Linked DNA regions of Cricetulus griseus. The protein of the gene in region 1 interacts with the protein of each later gene in a pairwise test. Links are inferred from orthologs where the notes say so. Each region holds a gene or a part of one and is shown on either strand. Other genes may lie near its edges.

Region 1 (3,655 bases):
TTTAACTGGTTTCTGTAATAAGGTAAGTCTCACCTCACAAAAATGTATTCCCTCCACTTCTGTTCTACAGAATGAGAAAATAATTTTATTTTATCTTTGTGTATTTTTTCCTCTATGTTTTTCCTATATATAGATCTGAATTATTAAGTTATCTAATTTTCCTAAACTTAGGAGAATAATTTTATTGTGACAAAATCTCTACATGTTTGTTCATCTGAGAACTGTTATTCTGTTTCCTCTGTACCAAAAGGTAAGTTTTCTGGATAGATTTCTACATGGGTGGAATTTTTTTCTCTATAAACTTTAATATTTCATTCCATCCTCTTCTTGCTTGTGTTGCCTTGTGATGAGGCTGATGTCATTCTCTTTGATCCTATTTATTCCTTTTTCCTTTATCTTGCCTGTCTATAGTTTGAATATGTTATGCTTAGATGTAGTTTTTGGCATTCTTCTTGCTTAATGTTCTCTGAGATTCCTGGATATATGGCTAGTAGTCTGCTATTAATTTCAGAAAATATTCAGAAACTAGTAGTCCAAATAACTCTCTTCTTTGTTCTTTTTCTCATACATGTGACACACACAATAAAAATAAATCTTAAAAAATGAAAAAATAATCATTATAAATAAACACAAAGGGCAAAAATATAAAAATATGGATAAAGGAACAGAAAGCTAACTCACAGAGGGTAGAAGAAGGGCTAATAAATTAAAAATACTTGTATATCTTTACTGGAAATGAGGAATATGCAAATTTAAAAATAAATTACCTTTCTAAACTATTAGGTAAAGTTAAAAGTCTATATTGAGTCAAAATAGTACCAGAAAAAGATGTAAAGTATGACAGCATCTACATAGTTTTCAAATGTGTGAAACTGTATTTATGGATATTTATGAATATTTATGGATAGTTAAGATATACCTTGGGTTAAGATAGGGTCATATCTTGATAAATTCTTTCTAAGTTGAAATATCCTAAGTCAGAAATGCACTTAATATATGTAATCTATGGAACACTGCAGCTTAGCAACCTAATACTCTGGAGTGTCAATGGTTTATCCTCATGATATATGGCTGACTGTGAGATGTAGGTTACTGTGGCTGCCCAGCATCTCAATAAGGTACCAGAGCACCACAATGCATATTGCTAGCTTAACAAAAATAAAAATTCAAAATCCAGAGTATAGGTTCCACTAAATGCATATTTTCTCATACAATCATGTAAACAAAAGTAAAATTAGCTATTATTAGTTAGGGACAGTTGTATGCAGTTTTCTGTAGTAAATGCATAAAAATACCCACGGGAACAGAACTAGAAAATTTGAAATAGTGGTTAAACCTGGAAAGAAGGAAGAATGGGATTGATGAAGAATCCATGAAATTCTTCAGCTATATTCATAAAGCTTTACTAATTTTTAAAACTAAGAAAATAGGAAAAAATATTAAGTCTTAGTAAACGTGGCTAGCTAAGTATACAAATACTCCCTAACTTATTCATGGGCTATTTACTCTTTGGCATGTTAGTAACAGCTCAGGACAAATGTAAAGTAAATGAAAGTCGAGCTACCCCGGGAAGAGGACTAACGTAACAGAAAGTCACTCACAGTACTTCAGTATCACTTCATCCATCTTTTTTTTTTGAAATCAGGGAATATTATTCTTTATTCTGCTTTCTAAAATTAAGACAAAAATTAACGCTTTAAGGAGTTGTGCTGTTAATGGTACCCACAACTGGGTGGCCAATCACTAGGGACATGGTGGTTACTTTTCCTATAATTCAGAGCTTCTAGATCTCATTATTATTTGAAAATGCTGAGGGGACTTTAGGATCTAAGAAAGGCACACAGAACATGGTATGAAATAGGCTACTTAATAGTATGTGGAAAATGATGGTTAAGGTTAAGGACAAACAAAATAGCTATGTCATAATCTTTGGCATAATCAAAGGTAATTTTAAAATGTTCCATTAGGTAGAGGTAAATAAAGTGAAAACAACTCATGTTGTGGTCTTGATTTGGCCTATACCTTGTTCGGTTCCCCTGGGTTATATGCAGAAAACATAGGGATGTTTCGGATCTCCTCCTCTGACAAACGGTTTCTCTGGATCTCATCTTCAGGGATAAATTCTATTGGTTGCGTCAGCTTCTTAGGCCCAGTCCAACACTGCTCAGGTAGAAAATCAATAACTTTTGCCACATGGAGACTGGGGCCTTTACCCTGTGCTGCCTGTTTTCCCTTGTCCTGGAGTAGTGATGGGTTCTCAGCTGTGCCACTATCACCCACTGATGTAGCTGAGACCAGTGAGTGGGAAGCAAAGGGTTCACCTCTCATAAGTTGGAACTCTTCAAGACGCTTTTTCATTATAGTCTCGTGGTAAAAACCTTCCAGGTTGTTCATGGGATCACCTTTGTTCTTCTCTGGGGGTTCATCTGGATCAAGACAAAGAGATATGGAAGTTCTACAAAGCCTCCCCAGTATAACCTTTTAAAAATTAATAAAAATTAAATTTTGGATCTCAGATACAGAACCTCTTTTAGGAAAGGTTTTTATAACATGTAGCAAGTGTGTGTGTATGTGTGTGTGTGCATACACACACACACACATGCATGTTCATGAGAATGTGCATGTATCTTAAAACTGCATCTTGAGCAAGGCCAATACATGGCAAAGTAAGGCACCAAGAAACCTCAAGTTCATGCAAGTATACATACATACCTCTAACTCACAAGGACATCTGAAGAATAGAACCAGGATGGCATTTCCATATTTACGGACTTAGTAATTCCTAAGTACCACCCAATTCCAAATTTATATTTGAATGACCTTGATTATGCCAGTGACTTTTTCAATACTTGTTTATTTAATCAAGATATAAGTCAGTTTTGGCTGTTATGACTTTGAAATCATTTTTCTGTCCCATCCCTTCATCAACCTTTATCCTCTGTCCATTGATAGTATACAACCATTATCTGTTTTGTGAACAAATTGATTTAATGAAATGTTTTCTGATGATAACTTGTTCAAAATTTCTTGTATTTTTTGACACTTAAGTCTAGTCTAATACAGTTGTCATTGGTCACTTGGTTATGCTTTTTTTTATCAGTTTGTGTCAAATTTGGTACATTTCAAATAATATATATATATATATATATATATATATATATATATATTCCAGATTATCCAGAACAGATAAAGATCATTTATAATATTCTAGAAAGTTAAATTAATGATGGTTTCTGTAAAGATTTAATTAGATTCATGTTCAATATTTAAAGCAAAAAATTCATATATAATTGTTTATTTCCTATTGTACCATGTCTAAAGGCACATAATATTCACTGGGCATATTTGGTGTTTGTCATATCCCTCAATTATCATGTATGCCTATTCATTTTTTTTTTTGAGACAGGGTTTCTCTGTGTAGCTTTGGAGCCTATCCTGGCACTCACTCTGGAGACCAGGCTGGTCTCGAACTCACAGAGATCCACCTGCCTCTGCCTACCGAGTACTGGGATTAAAGGCGTGTGCCACTAACACCGGTACGCCTATTCAATTTTTACCTAATGGACTTTATATCCATTGGCAATTACTGTTTACATCTATTAATTTACTAGGAATTACAAAATGGGGCTTCCCTTAATCTATTATTTCTTTTGTA
Region 2 (3,655 bases), on another chromosome or scaffold:
TGTCCCTAGCTGGTACTTAAGGCCTCTACATTCATGAAAATTCCATGCTATGGTGTTGAAGATGGCTCAGGGAATGAGAACACCCCTAGAGGACCCACATTCCAATCTCAGTACTAATGATGGGACCTCATACCTGCCTGGAAAAACAGCTTATATGATAAGCCTTCTTCCAAGGGCTGTAGACATTCAATACATGAGGCAGACATTTACACAAATCCATTCACAAGAGCTGGAGTAGGGTTTGTCTTTAATTGTTATGCTTTATAAGCAAGCATCCTACTACAGAGGTTTTAACTGAGTAGAAAGCAGCATGTTGGAAACATGAGCTTAAGCTGCCTTTTTAAATAATATCCAAAAAGGAAACAAAACTATACATACCTGTCATAGTAATCCCGCTGAAAGTCATAGTCCAAATCAAATGAGGAACTGAAAAATAAATAACAAAAAAGATGATTTTGGAGCTGCTGTTAAGGCAAAAGGCAGATGGGGTGAAAACAGGCCAAACAATCCACAACAAATAGATCAGTAAGATTAGCAATGAATCACCATTCATTCAAACAAATCATTTGCGCTCCATTGTTATCTTAGACCACTGGACATGCAGTGATCAAATTAGTAAATTCATGTAAAAATTTCAACAAAGTAACTTATTAACCAAACCAAGAACACTAAAAGAAAACAATAGTTGTTGAAACCACAATCCCTTCTCCCTTCCTTATTCCCAAGCTTTCTAGAACCTAACAAATTCCTCTTGAATTTATGATACATACACATAAAATTATTGTTAAACAGCAAAATCTCAGTGCAAGGAAATAGGGGCAAAGGGGAAGTATGTTAACACACGTTAATAAGCATTACACTTTTGCACATACAAAACACATCGCGCTACCCTCCCCACATCCAGAAACACAGAAGTTGCCCACTGATGGACACAATGCAGTTATAAATAATAAAGTTCCGGACCTGAGTAGAGGGGACGGAGAAGGGTGTTCTGGTACTGACCCGTACATCTCCGCTGCAGATCGTTTGACACCTGCTTTTCCTCGGTTCACTTTTGGCTCTGCAGCCAGATTAATATCTGGAAAAAAAAGGAAAACAAAAAGGGGGGGGGGTTAAAAAACAAGAACTCAAGGCAAAAAGACTGGGCTTTATTTCCCAGCAAAGCTAACAAGCCTGTATTCAGACTACAGTTATTACCTAATGTGTAACATTAACTTTCCTCACTAAAAGGTTTTACAAAGCTACCCTGTATGGCTAGAAACCAAAACTCCTCACATTAGTTTTTCTTTGCTACATATCCCTAACTCTTTCTCCAATTTGTAAAATTGATTCATCTTTCTTAACTTTTTACTCATGCACTAACACAGTTAAAGGATCACATCAGTAGCTACTAACTGGTCATTTTTTCAATAATGTTTCTATTATTTTTCACAAAAAAAGCTTGCACTAACTGCAAAGATAAGTGTGGAAATTTATGTATACCCTTAAAGTCATTCTCAACGCCATTACTAAACACAAAAGTACCCTGACAACTTCTACACATATACCCACCCATCCATAATAATAATAAACATCCAAATTTCAAAGTACAAAACAGATCTGGCAAGATAGCACAATGGTTATAGCACCGGCTCTAAGTCAGGCAACTGAGCTCAATGCTCATGCTCCACATGGTAGAAGGGAAAAACCTACTAAAGAAGTACTAAGTTAGATCCTGACCAGTAAGTGTCCATGTGCACAAACACAAAACAACTTTTCTTTAAATTTAAGGACACACTATTGGGACAGTAAGATCAAGGGACATTGAGTGATTAATGTACAAGCCTCAATGACTAAAACTGGTTCCCAGAAACCATATAGCAGAAAAAGAGGACTCTAGCAAATTGTCAACAAATGCAAACCTTTTAAAACACAATCTAGTTTTTAAGGACTAATCCAAAGATTTACTTTCTCTATCACTAGCTACAACGACTCTTCTCACTAGTTCTAACAAATAAGCCTAAAGGGAAGCAAAACAAATGAAATACCAGACCAAAACTGGGTCTCTAAAACAAGTTTCACAAATGATAATTTCAGATGAGCACAAGTAGATACATTGGCACTGAGTTTTTAGCTAAACTCTTCCAAACCATGTGTGCTTGCTTAAAAAAAAAAAAAATTCATATTTTTATTGTATACAACATTCTGCTTCCATGTATATCTGCACTCCTGAAGAGAGCACCAGTACTCATAACGGATGGTTGTGAGCCACCATGTGGTTGCTGGGAATTGAACTCAGGACCTCTGAGCCATCTCTCCAGCTTCCCCCCCTTTTTAAATAAAATTCATTATACTTAGTAAAATAAGAACAGTAGAACTAAACTATCAAGAATTCTTTCGGACAACCTTACTGTATTTATTCAATATTCCTAATGGAATGCAAAAAAAAAATTTAAAGCCCTTAAATATAATGCTGAATTTAGTCATTGTCCATAGAGAGTCTGCTGCGAAACTTAAAACAAGCAAAATAGAAATGGTATTATATCCTAATTAGCATAGTATCAGTAGTAGTAGTAGTCAGGGGATTTGCAAAGTGATTGAAACTCTAGTCTGTGTGTATATCCTCCTCCCTGCCTTCCCGAGCACTTTTACTCTCTCCTTTCTTGCTCTTTGGTCTTTACCCACAATACACCTACGTATATACAAAGGTGTGAACATTACATAGGAAAGAACACTTAGTCTTTTCACTTCAGTACTTATTTACCCATTTTCTTTTTTGGTTTCTCTTTGGAGGCTGTCCTAGAACTTGGCTCTTGTAGACCAGGCTGGCCTTGAATTCACAGAGATCCGCCTGCCTCTTCCTCCAGAGTGCTGGGATTAAAGGTGTATGCCACCATGCCTGGCCTTTCCTGTAATTTTTAGATTTGTTTCTCTTTTGAGCTTTTTAAAAACTTATTATGTTACAAACAGTTGTGAGCTGCCATGTGAGTGCCAGAATGGAACTTGGGTCTTCTGGAAAAGGAACCAGGTCTTAATTGATTAGCCATTTACCCAGCCCATTTGCTTTTCTTTATTGCTAAATATAATTTCTCTAAATATACAAATACATCATATAACATAATATGAAATTTAATCACCCAGTCGTTTATGTATATCTAGGCTGGTTTCATTTCTTTGCTATATAGCCGTATGTACATGTACAGAATTATCTGCAGTAGATGGAGCACTCTACTTAGGGCCAGTACAGCTGGCACTTGTCAGTGGTAATTTCTGTGAAAACCAGCAGTGGATGTTTCTATCCTTACAAACTGGTCAGTATGTTAACTTCAGTGTTGATTAATTAAAGATAATATGCTTGCTTTTCCTTAAAAAATGCATTAAGTCCAACAAATGGGATAGGCTCCAAAGCTACAGAGAAACTCCAAAAAACAAAAACAAGCTTTTAGGCCAAAATGTTAGCAAACAGTTTTAATCCCAGTATAATAATTTGAGTTTGAGGTCAGTGTGATCAACATAGTTTAAGTCTCAGAACAGAGAGGGCTATGTAGAGACCTTGTCTCACCAGCCCTTAACACAGAAACAAAAACAAGTTTAAGCCAGGGAGACAGAGGCAGGCAGATCACTGAGTTTGAAACCAGCCTGGTCTACAAGAGCTTGTTCCAGGGCAGCCTCCAAA

The links.
Region 2: the proteins of Rbm41 (region 1) and Hnrnpc interact in binary tests that used the Homo sapiens proteins (3 or more experiments, as listed by UniProt). The two-hybrid records come from large-scale screens. The link is inferred for Cricetulus griseus from reciprocal best matches to the Homo sapiens genes RBM41 and HNRNPC.

The regions. Positions count from the first base shown.
Region 1 is NC_048604.1:40,375,963-40,379,617, reverse strand, and holds part of Rbm41 (RNA-binding protein 41), read right to left. Parts: intron 2,427-3,655; coding exon 2,023-2,426; intron 1-2,022. UniProt on the Homo sapiens protein: May bind RNA.
Region 2 is NW_023276807.1:207,152,590-207,156,244, forward strand, and holds part of Hnrnpc (heterogeneous nuclear ribonucleoproteins C1/C2), read right to left. Parts: intron 1,079-3,655; coding exon 964-1,078; intron 427-963; coding exon 379-426; intron 1-378. UniProt on the Homo sapiens protein: Binds pre-mRNA and nucleates the assembly of 40S hnRNP particles. Interacts with poly-U tracts in the 3'-UTR or 5'-UTR of mRNA and modulates the stability and the level of translation of bound mRNA molecules. Single HNRNPC tetramers bind 230-240 nucleotides.